Linked DNA regions of Saccharomyces cerevisiae S288C. Changing the gene in region 1 together with any one later gene gives a genetic interaction. Each region holds a gene or a part of one and is shown on either strand. Other genes may lie near its edges.

Region 1 (4,019 bases):
AATCCCAGTTGATCCTTATCCACTGGATGACTTCAGTAATGTGAATATTATTTTGCAGTGTTTCTATAAGTTTTTTCAATTTGCAGTTGGCGATATCGCGGGACTCCTCTTCTTTCAACGAAGACGGCAAGTTCAGTAGGGTCCAATTAATTGCGAGATGCATGAAGTCACTCTTCACTACATTTGAGTCGTTCAAATATATTCTTCTATAAAGCAGTTTGGTAGCGATCTTATTCAACCTTTTGTTCACAAGGCAAAGCTGCAAGCGGTCTGGTTGCGGCAAATGAGAGAATACTTCTTGCATGAGCTCATCGGGGAGCTTTGTTAGCGGGAACACGTAGTTTTTGCTCTTGGCGGCGAAATTTATGTTAATATCGTTAATATCTCGTAGCGCTGAAGCATCTGCGTTACTTTTATTGTTTCTGTTAATGAACGCTGCTTTTTTCTTCTGAAAATAATCTTGAAATGGCATGATATGAATATAAGCTGAGTTGTAAACACTGTGTATAGACGTCCTGGATATTTTGCACGGAAATCAGATCTCCATCGAAATCTACAATTCGCTTATAATCTATATATATTCCTCTTTGTGTGGGACGATAAAGTAGGGTAATACTTGCAATGAGAAAGAATACTCTGGTGAACAGGTGCATTTTGAGAGGGAAATAGGAACTAAGAAAAACAAGTAGAGGAAAAGGGGTGTAGTGCAGTGCAGTAAAGCGTTGCATTGATCGTATCTTGATAGATATACCGGTATATTACTGAACGTTTACATTCACCCTACAACATTTATAAATCTTATATATTATACATGCAAACTCGTATTTGTGAAGTGGGCATATAGTTTTTCGCTATGTATATAGCGGATGAGTGCGTTGGGATTACTATTTCTTTAATGCACGTGATGAAGGCTCGTTTTCTTTTTTTTTTTTTTTTTTTCTTTTTGGGAACGGGGGAAAAGGTCTCACTAGTATATAAAGGAAAGAGAGTACAGCACGAATGAGCCAGCTGCAGGAAAGGGGCTAGGTTAAAAAATAAAAACCCAGCAGAAAGCAAACAACCAAATATAATTTAGAAATGGACAGAGACCATATTAATGACCATGACCATCGAATGAGCTATTCCATCAACAAGGACGACTTGTTGTTAATGGTTTTGGCGGTTTTCATTCCCCCAGTGGCCGTCTGGAAGCGTAAGGGTATGTTCAACAGGGATACACTATTGAACTTACTTCTCTTCCTACTGTTATTCTTCCCAGCAATCATTCACGCTTGCTACGTTGTATATGAAACGAGTAGTGAACGTTCGTACGATCTTTCACGCAGACATGCGACTGCGCCCGCCGTAGACCGTGACCTGGAAGCTCACCCTGCAGAGGAATCTCAAGCACAGCCTCCAGCATATGATGAAGACGATGAGGCCGGTGCCGATGTGCCCTTGATGGACAACAAACAACAGCTCTCTTCCGGCCGTACTTAGTGATCGGAACGAGCTCTTTATCACCGTAGTTCTAAATAACACATAGAGTAAATTATTGCCTTTTTCTTCGTTCCTTTTGTTCTTCACGTCCTTTTTATGAAATACGTGCCGGTGTTCCGGGGTTGGATGCGGAATCGAAAGTGTTGAATGTGAAATATGCGGAGGCCAAGTATGCGCTTCGGCGGCTAAATGCGGCATGTGAAAAGTATTGTCTATTTTATCTTCATCCTTCTTTCCCAGAATATTGAACTTATTTAATTCACATGGAGCAGAGAAAGCGCACCTCTGCGTTGGCGGCAATGTTAATTTGAGACGTATATAAATTGGAGCTTTCGTCACCTTTTTTTGGCTTGTTCTGTTGTCGGGTTCCTAATGTTAGTTTTATCCTTGATTTATTCTGTTTCATTCCCTTTTTTTTCCAGTGAAAAAGAAGTAACAATGACAGAAGATAATATTGCTCCAATCACCTCCGTTAAAGTAGTTACCGACAAGTGCACGTACAAGGACAACGAGCTGCTCACCAAGTACAGCTACGAAAATGCTGTAGTTACGAAGACAGCTAGTGGCCGCTTCGATGTAACGCCCACTGTTCAAGACTACGTGTTCAAACTTGACTTGAAAAAGCCGGAAAAACTAGGAATTATGCTCATTGGGTTAGGTGGCAACAATGGCTCCACTTTAGTGGCCTCGGTATTGGCGAATAAGCACAATGTGGAGTTTCAAACTAAGGAAGGCGTTAAGCAACCAAACTACTTCGGCTCCATGACTCAATGTTCTACCTTGAAACTGGGTATCGATGCGGAGGGGAATGACGTTTATGCTCCTTTTAACTCTCTGTTGCCCATGGTTAGCCCAAACGACTTTGTCGTCTCTGGTTGGGACATCAATAACGCAGATCTATACGAAGCTATGCAGAGAAGTCAAGTTCTCGAATATGATCTGCAACAACGCTTGAAGGCGAAGATGTCCTTGGTGAAGCCTCTTCCTTCCATTTACTACCCTGATTTCATTGCAGCTAATCAAGATGAGAGAGCCAATAACTGCATCAATTTGGATGAAAAAGGCAACGTAACCACGAGGGGTAAGTGGACCCATCTGCAACGCATCAGACGCGATATCCAGAATTTCAAAGAAGAAAACGCCCTTGATAAAGTAATCGTTCTTTGGACTGCAAATACTGAGAGGTACGTAGAAGTATCTCCTGGTGTTAATGACACCATGGAAAACCTCTTGCAGTCTATTAAGAATGACCATGAAGAGATTGCTCCTTCCACGATCTTTGCAGCAGCATCTATCTTGGAAGGTGTCCCCTATATTAATGGTTCACCGCAGAATACTTTTGTTCCCGGCTTGGTTCAGCTGGCTGAGCATGAGGGTACATTCATTGCGGGAGACGATCTCAAGTCGGGACAAACCAAGTTGAAGTCTGTTCTGGCCCAGTTCTTAGTGGATGCAGGTATTAAACCGGTCTCCATTGCATCCTATAACCATTTAGGCAATAATGACGGTTATAACTTATCTGCTCCAAAACAATTTAGGTCTAAGGAGATTTCCAAAAGTTCTGTCATAGATGACATCATCGCGTCTAATGATATCTTGTACAATGATAAACTGGGTAAAAAAGTTGACCACTGCATTGTCATCAAATATATGAAGCCCGTCGGGGACTCAAAAGTGGCAATGGACGAGTATTACAGTGAGTTGATGTTAGGTGGCCATAACCGGATTTCCATTCACAATGTTTGCGAAGATTCTTTACTGGCTACGCCCTTGATCATCGATCTTTTAGTCATGACTGAGTTTTGTACAAGAGTGTCCTATAAGAAGGTGGACCCAGTTAAAGAAGATGCTGGCAAATTCGAGAACTTTTATCCAGTTTTAACCTTCTTGAGTTACTGGTTAAAAGCTCCATTAACAAGACCAGGATTTCACCCGGTGAATGGCTTAAACAAGCAAAGAACCGCCTTAGAAAATTTTTTAAGATTGTTGATTGGATTGCCTTCTCAAAACGAACTAAGATTCGAAGAGAGATTGTTGTAATCTCATTTCAACGACTCTCTTTTTCTTTTTCCGCCTACCTATAAAAAAACAAGACATTCACCATTATCCTATTATCCCTTCCATCAATACATATACTTAACATAACGTTTATAAAAATTCAACTATCAACAGTCTTTATATTTTTTTTTTTTCTTTTGAACTATTGCCTCTTTGTCACTTCGTCTTAAAGGGGCGTTTTTTATTTTTTTTTTTTTTTTTCAGTTGAGGTAGATGCGAGAAAGTGCTGTATTTATTCAAGGGCCACCTCAGTAAAGAGAAGAAAAGAGAGAAAAAAAAAAAGAAGGTGGTGTATGTGCGACCACTCAACAAGGCCCAGTGAAGTTAATATATAACGATAAAAGGAGGAGGACGAGAAAGAAGAAGCTGAAAAACACAATGGCGTATGCGGACTCACCAGAAAATGCGATCGCTGTTATCAAGCAGCGAACCGCACTAATGAACCGGTGTCTATCTCAACACAAACTAATGGAATCATTACA
Region 2 (4,262 bases), on another chromosome or scaffold:
ACAAAAAATTGACACTATTCGGGACTGATGTCATATAGAAACATAAGGTCTTACTATTTCGTTAATTTATTATTGTGATATGTATTTACAGTGTAATATGAAGTTGTGTTTAAACTATATTTTAATTCCAGGGTTTATTTGTTTGGCTCTATGAGTAACATTTTCTCAACTCAAGACAGAGGATGCTTTTCTATGATGGCTAAATTGCCTGAAACCAGACAACTAGGCATGCCACCAGATTTTGGTGATGAAAAATTGTGAATCAACCTTAAATCCAGAACATAATAGTATACCTTACCAAAGATGGTGGCGGAACGTTTACATAAATGCTTGGTAATGCAGTTCATTCTGGGTTAGCGGGCTCATTTTTCAAAAATCCGTCAAATGGGGATATTTGCTGTATGCTAAGTAAAGGAAAAGTTTTCGCCATCAGACGACTTATATGAAAACGCCAACGAATTATCCAGTTTCACGAGTCAAGGCGGTAATTTTGAAATCGAACAAGAAGATGCTCACACGCCTGAACGAAACACATGTCACAGATAACCAAGACTGTCTCTAGCAACATTCCAGACGCATTGCGAGCTCGAAGTTCCGCTCAAAAGGTTGATTGGCAGCAGCACGCATCGAAGACAAGTGGGTAATCTTTTTTACGCATAATAAATGGCTGTGTCTATTTTTTATTAAGAGAAGTAAGCATAAGGATTTTCTCAATATTGTCCATTATCCGAGGCCTCCATTACCTTTGTATGAATATAATCGCCATGAATATAATCGCCATTGTAGTTCGCCAAGTGCCGCCTTTCTTTTCTTCTATCCTCTTATCTTCCGCTTATTGGCACAGGAAACGTAAAAATTAATAATCACCAGTTCCAGTCATTTTGAGTTATAATCGTTTACCCTCCCGACAAAGATAGTAGCTCGATTCAAGAACATGAATTTTACTAATATTCGTACTTTTTTAGTTTCTGCTACTATTAATCGGTTTTGAATCCTGTCTTCATTTTGTGAGGACAAAATTTAGTAGGTGTGTAAAGTGGTATTTAAGATTCGAGTCTGGGTGCACTAAACAATGATAGACTGATCAGTACATCTTCAATTTACTATATATAGATTTTTATTAGTATTTGTTTGCAACAATTCAACGGTTAGTGTATGTAGACTATTGAATATAACGAAGATAAACAAAAAGAAGGGGAGCGAAAAAGAATTGTCAACAAATGTTTATCGATATCTGCGATAAGGTTCTGCAAACAAATGCCGCTTACGAAAAGAATACAAAAATAAGAGAATACAAGGTTATCAGCCGTCGAAAAGCACATGCTATCGTGTCATCATTTCGTGAACTATACTTCTAATGGTGTCTGCACCACAAATACCATATACACATTAGAGCATGACGATGAGTACTTACTTTTCTTGACTGTACAGCCACAGATGTTGCAGTGCGTTTCAAAAGTTCCAGCCCCACGTTTTGCCAAGATAAATTAAAAAAAGAACGTGCATATGAATATGACAGTATTGAGCATAGTCTTTTTGACAGTATCCCCTAAATGCCAGAGTGTCCGCATGATTAATACTTTTCGCGGCGCACGTGCATGACGGTAAAGAAAGCAGAGAATCAAAAGAAGCAGCACGTAGTAATAGCGGCGTAGAATGTTGTACCCAACAGCAATGATGTTAGAATAATAGGGGTTATATGATTGGATCCTACGGTCTTCCGCGTTGCCGTTTGGTGCCACATTTATCTTCATATTCATGAATTTCCTTACTGGACCCCCACCTTAGCATGGATTGATTATATAGGCATATGGGCATTCCGTCCACTGTATCGTAGGATTATTTTCCAACATTAGTTAACTTAGTTCTCTGGTTAACCTAGTTTTTCAATCTGGCTATCTTAATTCTTTGATGAGGGACATCTGCTGGAAGACATCCAGAATGTGTCTGGATGAAGTAGGAAACTCGTGAATATATAAACCCCGATGAATGTAGTTGTAGCAGATGTTCGTTACAGTATTTATTATCTGTTTCTTGTGACTAGTCAACCAGCCGCAGACGTGAGTTGATCTTTTTGCTTATAATCAAAAAAATAGAATAGGATAAAAAATGGAAGACAAAGATATCACATCGGTAAATGAGAAGGAAGTGAACGAGAACACTAATCCTAGAATAATAAAATATGATGCCGAGAGGCGTGCAACCCGTACTGAAACCTCAAAGAAAGATAAATGGAAAAACATAGTTACAATCATTGCGTCCGGTTTTGCTCTGATAAGTGATGGTTACGTAAATGGTTCAATGAGTATGCTAAACAAGGTTTTTGTTATGGAGTACGGTAAGAAAAACTATAGCTCAAAAGTGTCGACTAGAGTTTCCAACGCAGCCCTAGTTGGTATTATTTTTGGCCAATTCTTTATGGGTATCGCTGCTGATTATTATAGTAGAAAATCTTGTATCCTTGTGGCCACTGCTATCTTGGTTATTGGTAGTGCTCTGTGTGCTGCCTCTCACGGTACTACTGTACCTGGCATGTTTTGGATGTTAACAGTTATGAGAGGTTTGGTAGGTATTGGTGTTGGTGCAGAATATCCTACCAGTACATTAAGTGCTAATGAGTCTGCTAATGAATATACCACTACCAAAAGAGGTGGTATCCTGGTTATGGTGACAAATTTGCCACTAGCCTTCGGTGGTCCATTTGCTACGATCATCTTTTTAATCGTCTACAAAATCTGTTCAGGAACAAAACATTTAGAGGCGATCTGGAGGACTGTTTTTGCAATAGGGTGCTTCTGGCCATTGAGTGTGTTCTATTTTAGATGGAAGACTGCTACTACAGAAGTCTATGAAAAAGGTAGAATCAAGAGAAATATACCATATTTCCTAGCATTGAAATTTTATTGGAAAAGGTTACTTGGTACATGTGGTACATGGTTTATGTATGATTTTGTTACCTTCCCAAATGGTATTTTCAGTTCAACAATTATCAGTTCCGTTATCAAGGACCAAAATGATTTAGTAAAAGTGGCAGAGTGGAACTTACTGTTGGGAGTTTTAGCTGTACTGGGTGTACCAATTGGTGCTTATCTGTCCGATCGTATTGGTCGTAAATATACGTTGATGTTTGGTTTCTCTGGGTACATCATCTTTGGTCTAATCATTGGATGTGCGTACGACCAATTGAAAAAAATCACCCCCTTGTTTATTATCTTCTACGCATTCATGAATATGTTAGGTAATGCTGGACCAGGTGATATGCTTGGTGTTATTAGTAGTGAAGCGTCAGCAACCGCTGTTAGAGGTGTTTTCTATGGTTTATCTGCTGTGACTGGTAAAATCGGTTCTGTAGTAGGCGTCGAATGTTTCCAACCCATTAGGGATAATTTGGGTGCAAGATGGACTTTTATTATTGCTGCAATTTGTGGTCTTATTGGTATCATTATTACATATTTCTTTGTTCCACATTCTCTTGAAAGCGATTTAATGAAGCAAGACGTTGAATTTCACAACTATTTGGTATCCAATGGCTGGACTGGTAAGATGGGATTTGATGAGACAGATGAAGAATCAATGGTTAGAACTATTGAAGTTGAAGAGAATGGTACTAATTGTAGTAAGAAAAACGCAGAAATAATTTCAGTCAGACAGGTCGATCAAAGTTGAAATTGGTATCGATTTCTTCCTCCATCCTTTAACCTCAAAATTTCTTTTTCTAAAGCGTTAATTTTAATTTATTATGATGCAGCTTACTCCCAAGAGTGCATGTAATGTTTGAAATATATTCATTGTTCTTGAAACTGAATATTATTATAAAACGATAAAATTGGGAATGGAAATATATGGTATAGCGTAATATTTTTTTTTTAGTTATTCTAAGTAACTTTTACATTTCAAAAGATTTACTAAAAGTTTTGTTTGAGCATTTGTTTGTTTTGTTATAATCCTTAGCTATTTTCGGTGTCTTAATGAGAAGGAAATTTTACGACTACAGAAATGATGCAGTGGCGATATCATATGCAAAAGAAATGTAGGAAGTACTCAGCTCTATTAAAATGGGGTGTGTTAGTGTAAATGATACAGATCTTGAATTGTATATTGTTTTGATTACGTTAAAACTCGTTACCATAGCTAACCTAGAAATAAGTGCTTTGGAACACCATGTTGAAAACCTTTTATTAGTCCAAAAAGTTTCACAATTCTAACATAGGATGGCAGTTTATTAACACTTTTTATATTTGTTTGTGACTTCCCGCTACAAA

The links.
Region 2: of INO1 (region 1) and GIT1, a mutation in one rescues a mutant of the other (synthetic rescue), as found in Saccharomyces cerevisiae (one study listed by BioGRID).

Annotation. Positions count from the first base shown.
Region 1 is NC_001142.9:133,832-137,850, reverse strand, and holds INO1 (inositol-3-phosphate synthase INO1), read left to right. Parts: upstream 1-1,917; coding exon 1,918-3,519; downstream 3,520-4,019. Other genes in the region: SCF ubiquitin ligase complex subunit DAS1, read right to left, coding at 1-472; SNA3 (Sna3p), read left to right, coding at 1,078-1,479; retromer subunit VPS35, read left to right, coding at 3,916-4,019. UniProt on the Saccharomyces cerevisiae protein: Key enzyme in myo-inositol biosynthesis pathway that catalyzes the conversion of glucose 6-phosphate to 1-myo-inositol 1-phosphate in a NAD-dependent manner. Rate-limiting enzyme in the synthesis of all inositol-containing compounds.
Region 2 is NC_001135.5:296,453-300,714, reverse strand, and holds GIT1 (Git1p), read left to right. Parts: upstream 1-2,109; coding exon 2,110-3,666; downstream 3,667-4,262. UniProt on the Saccharomyces cerevisiae protein: Glycerophosphodiester transporter that mediates uptake of both glycerophosphoinositol (GroPIns) and glycerophosphocholine (GroPCho) as sources of the nutrients inositol and phosphate.